Linked DNA regions of Xenopus tropicalis. The protein of the gene in region 4 purifies or fractionates together with the protein of the main gene of each other region. This does not show direct contact. Links are inferred from orthologs where the notes say so. Each region holds a gene or a part of one and is shown on either strand. Other genes may lie near its edges. The genes, in order: srebf2, insig1, srebf1 and scap.

Region 1 (4,671 bases), on a different chromosome or scaffold from region 4:
ACGTATCGAGTTTTAACCCTGTGACAGAAAGGTATTGACTATTCACTTATGTATCAAACTGTAACTGTCTAGAAAACTAGTGACCTAGCTTGTAGGGCTGCTACAGGAAAACAAAATGATTTTAAAACGTATATTTTTGCAAATAAAAAGAAAAGTGAGGGAACATGTCTGAGTGCAATTTCCCTCTAAGCCATTGTGCATTTTTTCATAACATACCATGCTTTTACTTTAACTAAATTGTATTTATATCCTATTATGAATTATTACAATTCAATATACCCATCTTAACAGTAGTCAAATGCAAACACCACTTTGCATGTCACATCTAAAAATACAGGGGAAATAACACACATGCACAAAAACAATTTCTGTTCTTTGCCTGTATTTATTTCTATCCACTGCATATCTGCTTTCAGTGTTAATACATAGGGGCACATTTACCTATCCACGAACGTCCGAAAAGCGCCCGAACGTGTTTTTTTTGTAATGGTCGGTATTTCGCGATTTTTTCGTAAATTGACGCGACTTTTTCGTAGCCATTACGACTTGCTCGTAAATTGTCGCGACTTTTTCGTAGCCATTACTACTTGCTCGTAAATTGTAGCGACTTTTTCGTAGCCGTCGTGCCGAGTATGAAAGTTTCGGAATCATTCAAGCTTCAGTATCGTGACTTTCCTTGGGCCGGGTTGGAGCTGCAGAGTGCCGTTGAGCCCTATGGGAGACTTTCCTTGGGCCGGGTTGGAGCTGCAGAGTGCCATTGAGCACTATGGGAGACTTTCCTTGGGCCAGGTTGGAGCTGCAGAGTGCCATTGAGCCCTATGGGAGACATTCCTTGGGCTGGGTTGGAGCTGCAGAGTGCCATTGAGCCCTATGGGAGACTTTCCTTGGGACAGGTTGGAGCTGCAGAGTGCCATTGAGCCCTATGGGAGACTTTCCTTGGGCCAGGTTGGAGCTGCAGAGTGCCATTGAGCCCTATGGGTGACTTTCCTTGGGCCAGGTTGGAGCTGCAGAGTGCCATTGAGCCCTATGGGAGACTTTCCTTGGGCTGGGTTGGAGCTGCAGAGTGCCATTGAGCCCTATGGGTGACTTTCCTTGGGCCAGGTTGGAGCTGCAGAGTGCCATTGAGCCCTATGGGTGACTTTCCTTGGGCCAGGTTGGAGCTGCAGAGTGCCATTGAGCCCTATGGGAGACTTTCCTTGGGCTGGGTTGGAGCTGCAGAGTGCCATTGAGCCCTATGGGTGACTTTCCTTGGGCCAGGTTGGAGCTGCAGAGTGCCATTGAGTCCTATGGGAGGCTTCCAAAATCATGCAAAGTCGCAAAGGTTTGCCCGCCGTTTACGAGCGCTCAATACGAAAAAGTCACGACAATATACGAGCAAGTCGTAATGGCTATGAAAAAGTTGCGACAATTTACGAGCAAGTCGTAATGGCTACGAAAAAGTCGCAACAATTTACGAAAAATCGCAAAATGTTTGTTTCCAATCCGATTTTTTCCCATTCGGGATTCGGATTTGTGGATTAGTGAATCAGCCCCATAGACTTCAGCATCACCTGCCCTAAAAACCAACCAAACATCAAGGTAAGTGCAGTAAAATACTGAGACCCAAGCTTTGTTTAACTCTATATCTAAACAGCACTTGATTTATGTTTTCAGCAGAAAAATACATTGTTATTGGACCTGCAGTAAAATCTTTTTAGGACTCCATTAAATACTTTGGAAAGACAAGGTACCACACACATATACTGAAACTGGGTATCAGTCATGATGCTTATTCCTCAAACACCAGCAGCTGCTATCCCTGTTGCTTAAGCCTGAAATGAAGGCTATAAATCTAGGGGACGGTAAGGCATTCTATTATAAAGAATGCAAGATGATTGGCACTTTTGCTTAACTGATTTGTTGCCTTTATAACAAAATGTGACATTTTAGTCCAATTCATGTCCAGAAACTAAATTCATTATGAGCAAATGACAAACGTCATTAGGTTTCAGATGCAAATGATCTTCATCTCAGAGTAAAGCAGGAGGAAAAGGGGGTGGTTACGTAATACTTAGCAACCTACATAAACAGGTCAGCCTTCTTGGTTTGGGAAATTAATTAAAATAAAATACCCAAATCACACAGAATGCTAGAAAAGGACAGGTCACAGGAAAGCAGAACCTTTACCCACAAATACAATCTAATAGAAGAAAAGAGTGTATGGACATAGGATAAAAGCAGCTACTCAGTTATGGATGTAGCTTTTTTTTCCCTGAGGAAGAGCACAGTGAGTGCTCGAAACGTTGGATCTCTTTTCTTAAATAAATTTATTTTTTGTCAAGTCCTGGTGTGTGCAGCTTACTTTCTTGCTTTATATTTTTTGCTAGCACCCTGGGCATTTGAACTTCTATAGGGTGTGCTCCGTTTGTTCTTGCTATATTATATATATATATATGGTACAGATGCCCTAGCCATTAAAGCATCAATGCAGTAAATATACAGTAAATATACAGTCCTACATAGACTTGCATCTCCTTCCCCCCCAAACCTTTCCAGCCCAAGTGGCCCAGACCAGGCGCAATGCCTGTAACTAACCTTAATCCGGCAAGGTATATAACAAGGTATATAACAACACAGCCAACACAACCCTAACAAGTTAATGATGAATTATTTCCTTCTGGAATTTGTAATCATATTCTCAGAAAAGGCGTGATTACTCAATGGATTCCACACACTGCAATGAAATGGGGGCCCAACATAAGGACAAAAAGTACTGGATATCAGGAATGACACGGCTAGTCCCCTAAACCGCTAGAGCTGTGTAAAACTACAACTCCCAGCAACCCCTCTTTGACAGCAGCAGGCTAGCTACGCTGTTACTATTTCCCAAACTACAGAAATGTTTTCGAGCCGCACCCCCCTGCAGAAAGATCCGTTCAGTTCCACTCTTACCGTCAATATCCCCTAGGGTGAGCTCATCTCCGAGTTCCGTCAGCGTCTCCATATTTTCCATGTTTAGTTCCATATGATATCCCGGGCTGTGACAACCCTAGCGCTCCCGAAAGGAGCCGGTTCTTGGTTCCCTATTACTGAACCTCACGAACCTGTCACTGACAAAACTGACGCCATGTTTGGGCACCACCTCCCTCCACACTACATGACGTCAATCCTATGTCTTCCAAACCTCGTTTCAGTGCCATGGTTAGAAGCCCAGAATGGATCCACAAAGAGGCGTGAAACGCACCCCGCCCCTCCCCCACCCTGACAGAACTGGGCCGCCTGACGCGGGAGTAAGCGGAATGCCCCGCCTCTTTGCCTTGTACAAACGCGTGCTGGATGTTTTGTTGTCAATGAGACCAGACGCCCCGGACGAATGAGCGAGCTTGACAAGCTGTGGTGTGATACGACGTCAGTGATCAGGGGATGTTGTATTTGCATAGGGGCCCGCCTTGTGTGGTTTATTTAGGAGCACGCCTACGGGGGACATTCAGTGAGGTGTTGCCACTGCTCTGCTGCTGCTGGGAAGCCCATGAAATAAAAAGGGACGGTGTTAGCAAGAGAAACGCCGCTGTAGTGTTACTTATTCAGTTCTTTGGGTTTTAAGAAGAAAATAAAGGAGTAATTTAGTTTCGTTGTGAAAGGTGCAACTAGCTAATAAGGAAATGTTATTAGACAAGCTGTTAAGGAAGTGAAATAATATTGTACTATATGTTATAATAGAATGAAAAACCTGTGCTGTATTGGTGCAGTTATGTGAGTGCTCATTCTGGACTGTGTCTTGGGCAAGTGACATGAGATTAGTTGCCCTGCAATTGATCTCAACTAAAGGTCCCCATACACTATAAGATCATCGCCAAGCGAGCGGATCTTTACCCAATATCCCCACCTACGGGAGGGCGATATCGGGTAGCAAGTTGCTTTAAAAAAAAAAAAAAAAAAAGCCAAACGATCGGATTACAGTTGCGGCCATGGGGCAGTCGGTTCGGGGACCGCATCAACGAGCCAATGCGGTCCCCGATCCGACTGGATTTTCTAACCTGGCCGATCGATATCTGGCCAATTTCAGGCAAGATATAGGTCGGCCAGGCCGCTCGTTTCTGCCCATACACGGGCCGATTAGCTGCCGAATCGGTCCAAGGGACAGATATCGGCAGCTTCTATCGGCCCGTGTATGGGGGCCTTAACTGTGGCAACTAATCTCCTTGAATGCTTTCCTGCCAGTGAGAATGTAGTAGTAAGAAGTAGTAGTCGCCCAATGTTGCCTCATGAGGTAAAAAAACATTGGGCCCCACAGAATGGAACTGCTTATAAGTGAGTGCAAGTACTCAGGAACAGAACTAAAGTTCAACACGGATATTTGTATATTTTGTTGCAGAAATACTTACGTATTTTAGTGCCAAAATCTGCTCCATGTGTCTGCCACTGAGCTGACTTAGTTTAAATTTTATCCTGGATGGTAGGGGAAGCCAGTGCAGGGATTGGCAGAGTGGCACGGCAGAGCAGGAGGGGTTGGAGAGGTGTATGAGCCTGGCAGCAGTATTCATTATGGACTGGAGAGGGGACAGTCTCTGAAGGGGAAGGCCAATAAGCAGAGAGTTACACTAGTCCAGGCGAGATATGATAAGAGAGTGAATAAGAATTTTGGCAGCATCTTGGGTGCTAAATGATCGTATTTTGGAAATATTTCTTTGG
Region 2 (3,872 bases), about 9.7 Mb from region 4:
TGAGGGAATACAGGGGTAGTGGAGATAGCTCTCAGTACAAGTGAGGGAATACAGGGGTAGGGGAGATAGCTCTCAGTACAAGTGAGTGAATACAGGGGTAGGGGGGATAGCTCTCAGTACAAGTGAGGGAATACAGGGGTAGGGGGGATAGCTCTCAGTACAAGAGAGGGAATACAGGGGTAGGGGGGATAGCTCTCAGTACAAGTGAGGGAATACAGGGGTAGGGGAGATAGCTCTCAGTACAAGTGAGAGAATACAGGGGTAGGGGAGATAGCTCTCAGTACAAGTGAGGGAATACAGGGGTAGGGGGGATAGCTCTCAGTACAAGTGAGGGAATACAGGGGTAGGGGAGATAGGTCTCAGTACAAGTGAGGGAATACAGGGGTAGGGGAGATAGCTCTCAGTACAAGTGAGGGAATACAGGGGTAGGGGAGATAGCTCTCAGTACAAGTGAGGGAATACAGGGGTAGGGGGATAGCTCTCAGTACAAGTGAGGGAATACAGGGGTAGGGGAGATAGCTCTCAGTACAAGTGAGGGAATACAGGGGTAGGGGAGATAGCTCTCAGTACAAGTGAGGGAATACAGGGGTAGGGGAGATAGCTCTCAGTACAAGTGAGGGAATACAGGGGTAGGGGAGATAGCTCTCAGTACAAGTGAGGGAATACAGGGGTAGGGGAGATAGCTCTCAGTACAAGTGAGGGAATACAGGGGTAGGGGGATAGCTCTCAGTACAAGTGAGGGAATACAGGGGTAGGGGAGATAGCTCTCAGTACAAGTGAGGGAATACAGGGGTAGGGGAGATAGCTCTCAGTACAAGTGAGGGAATACAGGGGTAGGGGGGATAGCTCTCAGTACAAGTGAGGGAATACAGGGGTAGGGGAGATAGCTCTTAGTACAAGTTGCCCCAGGGACTGGTCCGATTGCCAAGATCTATCTCCCCTACCCCTGTATTCCCTCACTTGTACTGAGAGCTATCTCCCCTACCCCTGTATTCCCTCACTTGTACTGAGAGCTATCCCCCCTACCCCTGTATTCTCTCACTTGTACTGAGAGCTATCTCCCCTACCCCTGTATTCCCTCACTTGTACTGAGAGCTATCCCCCCTACCCCTGTATTCCCTCTCTTGTACTGAGAGCTATCCCCCCTACCCCTGTATTCCCTCACTTGTACTGAGAGCTATCCCCCCTACCCCTGTATTCACTCACTTGTACTGAGAGCTATCTCCCCTACCCCTGTATTCCCTCACTTGTACTGAGAGCTATCTCCACTACCCCTGTATTCCCTCACTTGTACTGAGAGCTATCTCCCCTACCCCTGTATTCCCTCACTTGTACTGAGAGCTATCCCCCCTACCCCTGTATTCCCTCTCTTGTACTGAGAGCTATCCCCCCTACCCCTGTATTCCCTCACTTGTACTGAGAGCTATCCCCCCTACCCCTGTATTCACTCACTTGTACTGAGAGCTATCTCCCCTACCCCTGTATTCCCTCACTTGTACTGAGAGCTATCTCCCCTACCCCTGTATTCCCTCACTTGTACTGAGAGCTATCCCCCCTACCCCTGTATTCCCTCACTTGTACTAAGAGCTATCTCCCCTACCCCTGTATTCCCTCACTTGTACTGAGAGCTATCCCCCCTACCCCTGTATTCCCTCACTTGTACTGAGAGCTATCCCCCCTACCCCTGTATTCCCTCACTTGTACTGAGAGCTATCCCCCCTACCCCTGTATTCTCTCACTTGTACTAAGAGCTATCCCCCTACCCCTGTATTCCCTCACTTGTACTGAGAGCTATCCCCCTACCCTTGTATTCCCTCACTTGCTAAGAAGCCATCCAGACCCTTCTTAAAGCTATATAATGTATCAGCCAGCACGACTGATTCAGGGAGGGTCTTTTTTTTTTTTTTGCATTCTCAGCAACCATCCAATATACATTAATTGCTTTGAACTCTTGATACAATGTGGAAGCCAGCTGGTTAACAGATCTAGAGAACATCTGCTACAGTTACTGAAGTCCGAAAAGAAAGGGCCAAGGGGTAGTTCAGCTTTAAATTAACTTCTAGTATAATGTATTGATATTCTGAGAATTTGCAAAGTTGTTTTTTTTAAATGTTTTTTCTGGTTATTTTACTTTTTGCTCAGCGGCTATCCGGGTTTGAATTACCCTTCCAGGCAGTGGTTTGAATGAGAGATGGGAATATCAATAAAAAAGGGGCCGATTAGAAAGATAAGGAACAAAAAGCAGCAAAATTGTAGCCTCACAGAGCAATAACTTTTAGCTGCCAGGGTCAGCGACCCCCATTTGAAAGCTGGGAAGAGGCGGCAAAAAACTCAAATTATAAAAAAAAAAAATAATGGAAACTGAATGCAAAGTTGCTAAGAATAGGGCATTCTATAATATACTAACCCCCATATGTAATAAAAGGCACTAAGATTGCCCTGGTGCAATAAGCCACAGCAACCAATAAGATGTTTGCTTTTTAACAGGTGACCAGTAAATTCTACCTGCTGACTGGTTGCTATGGGTTACTGCTCCTGGGCAAATGCAGGGCCTTTTATTACATCACCCCCTAAGGGTTCCGAATCTGAATTGTGCTGGAAAAGGCTTCGATTTGTCCAAATTCTGATCCAAATCTGGAATTCTGGATATAAGAAGGGTGTTCAATAATGATGTGCAGGTCAACCAATAGTCAACCCGCACCTGAACCTAACCTGCCCCTTCTAAATCCGACCCAACCTGCTTTGTGACTGCAGCGCATGACCCTCCCCATCTCTGACATCATGGAGAGTGCGGGGCAGGTATGAACCTATAAATAGACGCTGCTAGAGCCTGAAGCAGGGCTCAGTTACATTGCTGGTACTGAGGGAGGTAGAAGACCTTGGCCCTAACCCGTCCTCGACCAGTTTCTGACGTGTGGAAGTCAGTCCCAAACCCATCCGACCCACGGGCTTAGGGCCGGCCCGCACATCCCTAGTGTTCACTTACCATTGCTAATTGCCTTCCTATGTTCCCGACAGTCACTCCTCCCGAGAAAAAGATACAAGGCAGCCATGATCTAATGTACAGGAAGTCTGGGGAGGTGTACCTAATGTAAGCAAAAATAAGGTCATTAATTCATGTACCGTATAAAAAAAAAAAAAAGAGCACATCCTGTGAAAATACGTATTGCAGAGCTATTCCAATATACAAGATTAGAACTCATCCACTTTCTATTCATTCCTATGGGATTTTTAAAAGCGTATTTATCAAAGGGTGAAAGTGATAGTTCACCTCTTCAGTTATTTAGTTTTTTTGTTTAACACTTGTCCAGGGTGGTAATGCTGCAGCTATCTGGTTGCAATGGGGCAAATTACCCTAGCAACCAGACAGTGGTTTGGACAAAAGTTGGAAAAATGAATAGAAAAAGGTCTGAATAGAAAGATAAGTGATGCAAAGCAACAATAACAATGATATCGTAGCCTCACAGAGCAATTGTATTTTTGCTGCAGGGGTCAGCGACCCCATTTTAAAGCTGGAAAGAGACAGAAGAGGAAGCAAAATAATTCAAAAACTATAAAAAACAATTAAGACCAACTGCAAAGTTGCTAGGAATAGGGCATTTTATAAGATACTAAAAGTTTATTAAAGGTGAACCACCCCTTTAACTTGCCTCTCTGAAACAAAAGTCCCTCTAAAACGTTTGCTATGAAGGTTGACATAAGCAATATTGTAGAATAAAAAAACAAAACTGTAAGAGTGATAGTGTTTATCCTATAAGGGGGTGACTTACTGGTATACGCCATTGTAGACAAGAAACTGTGTTATTAGTGTGGCAAGGAAGGCAATTGTAATGCCAAGGCCCAGACCACTTCTGGAACGATCAAAGGTCCAC
Region 3 (4,489 bases), on a different chromosome or scaffold from region 4:
CGGCTACTCTGAAATCTATGCAGCCCGCACTCATGCATGTTATATAAACGTCCTTTGCTAAAGATGGCGGCAGCCAACATGTTGATGTGCTTGTGTGGTATGGATTCCATCTAATTACATAAGAATACTCTATATGTTATGACCCCCAAATCATTAAGCAGATGGCACACATAAATGAGGGTGATGTTGAACCTTCGGACCCTTATTAAAGTAAATTTCTGGGTGTTGCTACCACTCCGAATACTGCGCCCTGTGCATAGCCTGCCACCCAGGCCACCATACCTATAATGCACACTAGCTACAGGTATCGGACCCCTTATCAGGAAACCCATTATACAGAAAATTGCAGAAAGGCCGTCTCCCATAGACTCCATTTTAATCAAATAATTCACATTTTTAAAAATGGTTTCCTTTTTCTCTCTAATAAGAAAACAGTACCTTGTACTTGATCCCAACTAAGATTTAATTACCCTTATTGGGGGCAGAACAGCCCTATTGGGTTTATTTCATGGTTAAATGATTCCCTTTTCTCTGTAATAATAAAACAGTACCTGTACTTGATCCCAACTAAGATATAATTACCCCTTATTGGGGCAGAACAGTCCTATTGGGTTTATTTCATGGTTAAATGATTCCCTTTTCTCTGTAATAATAAAACAGTACCTGTACTTGATCCCAACTAAGATATAATTACCCCTTATTGGGGCAGAACAGCCCTATTGGGTTTATTTAATGGTTAAATGATTCCCTTTTCTCTGTAATAATAAAACAGTACCTGTACTTGATCCCAACTAAGATATAATTACCCCTTATTGGGGCAGAACAGTCCTATTGGGTTTATTTCATGGTTAAATGATTCCCTTTTCTCTGTAATAATAAAACAGTACCTGTACTTGATCCCAACTAAGATATAATTACCCCTTATTGGGGCAGAACAGCCCTATTGGGTTTATTTAATGGTTAAATGATTCCCTTTTCTCTGTAATAATAAAACAGTACCTGTACTTGATCCCAACTAAGATATAATTACCCCTTATTGGGGCAGAACAGCCCTATTGGGTTTATTTAATGGTTAAATGATTCCCTTTTCTCTGTAATAATAAAACAGTACCTGTACTTGATCCCAACTAAGATATAATTACCCCTTATTGGGGGCAGAACAGCCCTATTGGGTTTATTTAATGGTTAAATGATTCCCTTTTCTCTGTAATAATAAAACAGTACCTGTACTTGATCCCAACTAAGATATAATTACCCCTTATTGGGGCAGAACAGCCCTATTGGGTTTATTTAATGGTTAAATGATTCCCTTTTCTCTGTAATAATAAAACAGTACCTGTACTTGATCCCAACTAAGATATAATTACCCCTTATTGGGGGCAGAACAGCCCTATTGGGTTTATTTAATGGTTAAATGATTCCCTTTTCTCTGTAATAATAAAACAGTACCTGTACTTGATCCCAACTAAGATATAATTACCCCTTATTGGGGCAGAACAGCCCTATTGGGTTTATTTAATGGTTAAATGATTCCCTTTTCTCTGTAATAATAAAACAGTACCTGTACTTGATCCCAACTAAGATATAATTACCCCTTATTGGGGACAGAACAGCCCTATTGGGTTTATTTCATGGTTAAATGATTCCCTTTTCTCTGTAATAATAAAACAGTACCTGTACTTGATCCCAACTAAGATATAACTAATCCTTATTGGAGGCAAAATAATCCTATTGGGTTTAATTACCGTTTAAATAATTTTATTAGCAGACTTAAGGTAGGCGATCCGAATTACGGAAAGTCCCCTGATCCAGAAAACCTCAGGTCCCAAGCATTCTGGATAACGGGTCCCATACCTGTACAGTAAAAAGTACAGTAGGGGCAGGGACTTCATTACTATTTGATTTTGTCTGTAGAGGTGCAGCGCTGAGGCATATGTTGGTGCTATTATTACGTCTGTATGTAATAATAATAATATAGACAGTGCTATAATAAGAGAGACACACGCACGCCCCCTGTCACTCCTGTATGTCCCAGCACAAACAAGCCAGGCAATGCCCGACAGTAACCCTGCGGTGATGTCAGGCAGGGGGCGGGGCAATGAGGCAAGTGCCCTAGTAACCCACAGGAGCTGAGAGGAAGTGCAGCACATGGGGCAGCTGGGCAAATAAGAGTTGCATCAGAATGTCAATAAGGCATAAGAGGGCAGCCATTTGCCCCCATTTAAGATGGGGTATTTATGGGAGAGGGGGCAGGTTCAATGCTCTGGAGAATTAGAAACCTATTCCCTACTTTCCTTAATTAACAACATTAAACCATTAGCTCTATGGGGGCCAATATCCCTTCCTCCCCCCAGTTTCTTCCCTATGACAGTGTCACATGCTTCTTTACCAACCCCCTCCCCACAAGCCAAAGAGAAGACTTAACCCAGTGCTGATGTTGTACTACAACCCCCATCACCCTTTGAGAGCTGTAGTTTCTGCTGCGTTTTCTCCCCCCACCCCCAAGTGTTACTCACCATCAATGTCATTCAGCAGCATGGAGTCAATGTCACTGGTCTCCTGGAGGGACAGAGAAGGGTCCAACTCCTCCAGAGAGCTGTCATCGTACCCCAGGCTGGCCATGCTGCTGCTGCTTCCCCTCTTCCTCCTTAGGCAGGGCTGCTGGCCATGGGCAAGTGGGGGGATCCAGGGAAGGTAGCAATGTTTCCCTTGGGAGTGGCTGCAGTATTACAGGGTCCCCATACCTGCATTAGATACCAGTAGGGAAGTTCAGTAGAACTGCAGCTCTAACCTGCTACCGACTGGGGAGGAGGAGGCGGGACCTGCCAGGGAGAGCCCGCCCCCAAATGCCCACCCCCTACAGCGTGGGACACGCCCTCATCCTTCCCCTGCATCCTGCTAGCGCTTTACTGCCTTTGTAAAGGAGCGAAAGGGTTAATTAACCTCTAAACTGTCAGGGCAAATGGCAAAGTCCTCAGCTTCAGCTACATATTTTGATGGCACTCACACACTTTTTATTTCCCGCCCCCCTCTGTTTCCCCTCTGTACCCCCCTCTGTTTCCCCTCTGTACCCCCTCTGTTTCCTCTCTGTACCCCCCTCTGTTTCCTCTCTGTACCCCCCTCTGTTTCCCCTCTGTACCCCCCTCTGTACCCCCCTCTGTTTCCCCTCTGTACCCCCTCTGTTTCCCCCTCTGTACCCCCCTCTGTTTCCCCCTCTGTACCCCCCTCTGTTTCCCCTCTGTACCCCCCTCTGTTTCCCCCTCTGTTTCCTCTCTGTACCCCCCTCTGTTTCCCCTCTGTACCCCCCTCTGTTTCCCCCTCTGTACCCCCTCTGTTTCCCCCTCTGTACCCCCCTCTGTTTCCCCCTCTGTACCCCCCTCTGTTTCCCCCTCTGTACCCCCTCTGTTTCCCCCTCTGTACTCCGCTCTGTTTCCCCCTCTGTTTCCTCTCTGTACCCCCCTCTGTTTCCCCTCTGTACCCCCTCTGTACCCCCCTCTGTTTCCCCTCTGTACCCCCCTCTGTTTCCTCTCTGTACCCCCCTCTGTTTCCCCTCTGTACCCCCCTCTGTTTCCCCCTCTGTACCCCCCTCTGTACCCCCTCTGTTTCCCCCTCTGTACCCCCTCTGTTTCCCCCTCTGTACTCCGCTCTGTTTCCCCCTCTGTACCCCCTCTGTTTCCCCCTCTGTACTCCGCTCTGTTTCCCCCTCTGTACCCCCTCTGTTTCCCCCTCTGTACCCCCCTCTGTTTCCCCCTCTGTACCCCCCTCTGTTTCCCCCTCTGTTTCCCCCTCTGTACTCCGCTCTGTTTCCCCCTCTGTACCCCCTCTGTTTCCCCCTCTGTACTCCGCTCTGTTTCCCCCTCTGTACCCCCTCTGTTTCCTCTCTGTACCCCCCTCTGTTTCCTCTCTGTACCCCCCTCTGTTTCCCCCTCTGTACCCCCCTCTGTTTCCCCCTCTGTTTCCTCTCTGTACCCCCCTCTGTACCCCCTCTGTTTCCCCCTCTGTACCCCCCTCTGTACCCCCTCTGTTTCCCCCTCTGTACCCCCTCTGTTTCCCCCTCTGTACCCCTCTGTTTCCCCCTCTGTACTCCGCTCTGTTTCCCCCTCTGTACCCCCCTCTGTTTCCCCCTCTGTACCCCCCTCTGTTTCCCCCGCTGTACCCCCCTCTGTTTCCCCCTCTGTACTCCGCTCTGTTTCCCCCTCTGTACCCCCCTCTGTTTCCCCTCTGTACCCCCCTCTGTTTCCCCTCTGTTTCCCCCTCTGTTTCCCCCTCTGTACCCCCCTCTGTTTCCCCTCTGTTTCCCCCTCTGTACCCCCTCTGTTTCCCCTCTGTTTCCCCCTCTGTTTCCCCCTCTGTACCCCCCTCTGTTTCCCCCTCTGTACCCCCCTCTGTTTCCCCTCTGTTTCCCCCTCTGTACCCCCCTCTGTTTCCCCTCTGTTTCCCCCTCTGTTTCCCCCTCTGTACTCCGCTCTGTTTCCCCCTCTGTACCCCC
Region 4 (3,872 bases):
CTATCCCTAACCCTAGCCCTAACCCTAACCCTAGCCCTAACCCTAGCCCTAACCCTAGCCCTTAGCCCTAACCCTATCCCTAACCTTATCCCTAACCCTATCCCTAGCCCTAACCTTATGCCTAGCCCTATCCCTAACCCTAGCCCTAGCCCTAACCCTAACCCTAGCCCTAACCCTAGCCCTAACCCTAGCCCTAACCTTATCCCTAACCCTATCCCTAGCCCTAACCCTATCCCTAGCCCTTAGCCCTAACCCTAGCCCTAGCCCTATCTCTAACCCTAGCCCTAACCCTATCTCTAACCCTATCCCTAGCCCTTAGCCCTAACCCTAGCCCTTAGCCCTAACCCTATCCCTAACCCTATCCCTAGCCCTAACCTTATGCCTAGCCCTAACCCTAGCCCTAACCCTAGCCCTAACCCTAGCCCTATCTCTAACCCTAGCCCTAACCCTAGCCCTAACCCTAGCCCTAGCCCTAACCCTAGCCCTAACCCTAACCCTAGCCCTAACCCTAGCCCTAACCCTAGCCCTAACCCTTGCCCTAACCCTTGCCCTAACCCTTGCCCTAACCCTTGCCCTAACCCTTGCCCTAACCCTTGCCCTAACCCTTGCCCTAACCCTTGCCCTATCCCTAACCCTAGCCTTAACCCTATTCCTAGCCCTAACCCTGTGTAACACCCTCTATTGGGGCTCACTAGGAACAAACTGTCAATACCAAAACAGGACAGTGCAGACTGGAGCAGAATAGCTACATTCTGGCATTTGATAACGTCTGTTTGCTTGCAGTTGGCCGACCTGAACAAACGGATGCCAGCAGAGGCCTGCATGCCTCCCCCCAAACCCGGCGCCAAAAGATACGAACGCCAGCCAGCCCTGCGTCCGGCCACCCCTCATACCATCACCCTCCAGCCTTCTTCCTTGCGAAATCTGCGCCTCCCCAAGAGACTGCGCCTGGTGTACTTCTTTGCCAGGACTCGACTCGCTCAGAGAATCATCATGGTAAGAACATAATATAATGCAGGCACTGGCAAACTGGGCAACAATGGCCGGACTGGGAGTCAAAATAGGCCCCGGAATTCCAAATACACAGAGGCCCAAACGGCCCCCCCAGCAGCCCAATAAACAGTGAGAGTCTAGGGCATCTTACAGAACCCACAGATTGCCATTCCGGGCCTGCTGGGCATGTTACTGCATGTCGGCTAAATACATGGGCAAGTTCTTAGGAAGCTGGATAAGGCTTCAAGGTCCAAGTGCAGATTGTAGTGACAGAGCCACAGTGTTCCCTATGTGCCCAGCTCATTCACAAGCATCCCCTGTGAAGGACACGCTGATAAAGAGCTGTAACTGGTTTGAATCCAAGGTCTGCAATAGCCTGGGTTTTTTCTAAGCTACATGCAGAAGTGTTAGTGACTCCCAGGCAGGAGGATGTGCTGTTATCCCACTGGGCAGTGGCCCCTGGTCAGTCACAGCCAGTTTAACTTTTCCTGTTTGCTCTACAGGCTGGGACGGTGGTCTGGATTGGGATCCTTGTATACACGGACCCCGCTGGGCTGCGCAATTACTTAACGGTTCAGGTGACGGAGCAGAGCCCCCTGGGAGGCGCAGTCATGCCTCCGGTTCCGGTACCAGTGCTGCCAGCATCCAACCCACAGAGCCCCCTCGCCGCCGTCTTCCCCACAGGCTCCTCCCAACTGCTGGAAAACCAGTCACAGAGAGACCGCAAGGAGGTGATCGACTCCCTGAGAGGGAGGCTGGATGGCAGCTCCAGGGTTTGGGAAGAAAGTCTCCCTGAAGACAAGGGCAGAGAGCGAGCGGCGGGTAAAGAGGACAAAGCCCATACGCAGGTTACCTGGGGACCCGAGGATGAGGAGACCTGGAGGAAGCTGTCATTCAGACATTGGCCAACCCTCTTCAGCTACTACAATATCACTCTGGCCAAAAAGTATGGGGCAACTTCTTGTACAAAAATATAGCAAACTGTACCTTCTTGCAGGTCCGATGGCAGTAACCATATCCGACTGTGCCATAAAGCGTACAGCACGGGGCTGCAAGTTCTACGGGAGGGGCACAGAACATGGCTTTTATTTGGTTTCATACAGTTATGGGATCCATTATCCAGAAACCTGTTATCCAAAAAGCTCTGAACTATGGGAAAGCCATCTACCTAAAGGTGGCCATACACTGTAAGATCTGCTCGTTTGGCGAGGTCATCAAGCGAGTGGATCTTCTCCCGATATGCCCACCTACAGGTGGCGATATCGGGCTAGCGCTGTCGGTTCAGGGACTGTATCAACGAGCCGATGTGTTCCCCGATCCGACGGAAAAATCAAACCTGCCCAATCAAGATCTGCCCAATTTCAGGCCATATGTTAGTCAAGGAGGCCCGTCGGTGGTGCCCATACATGAACAGATAAGCTGCCGAATCGGTTTAACCCAAATCTGCCCGTGTATGGCCTCCTTCAGTCTCCAAAAAGATTTCCTTTTTCTCTATAATAATAATACAGAGCCTTGTACATGGCCCTATCTAAGATATAATAATCCTTTAGTTTGTTTTGATGCAAGTTACAGAAAGACCCCTTATCTGGACAACCCCTGGCCCCAAGCATTCTGACTAACAGGTCCCATAGCTGTATTATCATACTGATTGTCTGGCTGAGACATATTTTCCTTCTTTTCCTGCACATATTACAGCACGAATCATGAATATAAGGAATGCTCAGAAGAGCTAAGCAATATGGCAACCCCCACTTTTGCACAAATGCAACTAGCCAGTAATATTTATTGGTGCATTGGCTGTATAGAGAGAATGGCTTCCATATGTATAAAGCACTGGGTCTGTGATGTTTTGTGCCACTGTAGCAGGTTAGGGAATTGCTTTATTCTGTAATGAGGCTCATGTAGAAATGTATTAATCTCCTAGGTACATCAGCATCTTACCCATGATTCCCGTCACCATCTACCTGACGCCACAGGAGGTGTCCGACGCACGGCACCCACAGGAGGCTCAGCACTCGCACCCATATCTGCAGCGGGAAGGGAAGCCAGAAGAAGCCTGGGTTCGCGTAGAGGCAAAGGGGGCTGAAGAGGCCGCCAAAAATCAGATGCCAGCAGATGTCACCTTATACAAGTAGGAACTGCCGGGCTCTTACTGCCATTTGCCTTCCTCTTAAAAGGGGTTTGTCCACCTTTGAGTTAACTTTTAGAATGGTGTATAGAGTAATATCCTGAGACAATTTGCAGTTGGTCTTAATTTTTCATTATTTTTATTATTTCAGTATTTGTTCGGCAGTTCTCCAGCTTTGGAGTTTCGGCAGCTATTTGGTTGCTAGGTTCCAAATTACCTTAACAACCAGGGTGTGGTTTGAATGAAAAACTGATATAGGAATAGGAGAGGGGCTATTCCTGGGAAAGGGTTGTTCGACCCCCAAAGGGGTCCCGACCCACAGGTTGAGAACCGCTGAGTCAGACGAAGAAGGCAAATAATTAAAAAAACGATAAAGAACAAATAATGAAGAATGAAAAGTTGCTTCTATAACATACCCCCTATTAAATATTATTTTACAGGCTTCCTAAAGGCACACACTCCCTTTTTGGTGATTCGCTGATATAAATATTGGGTATATTATGATATATTTTTAACCCAACCCATAACTTCCTATCAATATTGATTAATACATTTCATAAGGCGGAGCTTGGAAAGCCCTTGGAAAACAGCATTGCTGCAAAGGTTCTAGACAAACCAGCCCCGTCTGTATTATCCCTTCCCCCCAGATCATTGTTGCTCTGTTAGCTGGTGTAGGAATGGCCGCTCACAGACTCACATCTCGCACTTTCTCCTTAGGGTCGCTGCCTTAGGCCTGGCCTCTGGGATTTTC

The links.
Region 1: the proteins of scap (region 4) and srebf2 purify together in Homo sapiens (affinity purification with western blotting; 3 studies listed by BioGRID and IntAct, with this or other methods). This does not show direct contact. The link is inferred for Xenopus tropicalis from reciprocal best matches to the Homo sapiens genes SCAP and SREBF2.
Region 2: the proteins of scap (region 4) and insig1 purify together in Homo sapiens (affinity purification with western blotting; 11 studies listed by BioGRID and IntAct, with this or other methods). This does not show direct contact. The link is inferred for Xenopus tropicalis from reciprocal best matches to the Homo sapiens genes SCAP and INSIG1.
Region 3: the proteins of scap (region 4) and srebf1 purify together in Homo sapiens (affinity purification with western blotting; 4 studies listed by BioGRID and IntAct, with this or other methods). This does not show direct contact. The link is inferred for Xenopus tropicalis from reciprocal best matches to the Homo sapiens genes SCAP and SREBF1.

Annotation. Positions count from the first base shown.
Region 1 is NC_030680.2:120,124,185-120,128,855, reverse strand, and holds the start of srebf2 (sterol regulatory element-binding protein 2), read right to left. Parts: upstream 3,152-4,671; 5' UTR 3,005-3,151; coding exon 2,932-3,004; intron 1-2,931.
Region 2 is NC_030682.2:16,642,090-16,645,961, reverse strand, and holds part of insig1 (insulin-induced gene 1 protein), read right to left. Parts: coding exon 3,771-3,872; intron 3,087-3,770; coding exon 2,987-3,086; intron 1-2,986. UniProt on the Homo sapiens protein: Oxysterol-binding protein that mediates feedback control of cholesterol synthesis by controlling both endoplasmic reticulum to Golgi transport of SCAP and degradation of HMGCR.
Region 3 is NC_030685.2:15,370,309-15,374,797, reverse strand, and holds the start of srebf1 (sterol regulatory element-binding protein 1), read right to left. Parts: upstream 2,833-4,489; 5' UTR 2,623-2,832; coding exon 2,517-2,622; intron 1-2,516.
Region 4 is NC_030682.2:6,968,257-6,972,128, forward strand, and holds part of scap (sterol regulatory element-binding protein cleavage-activating protein), read left to right. Parts: intron 1-783; coding exon 784-996; intron 997-1,496; coding exon 1,497-1,939; intron 1,940-2,917; coding exon 2,918-3,124; intron 3,125-3,838; coding exon 3,839-3,872. UniProt on the Homo sapiens protein: Escort protein required for cholesterol as well as lipid homeostasis.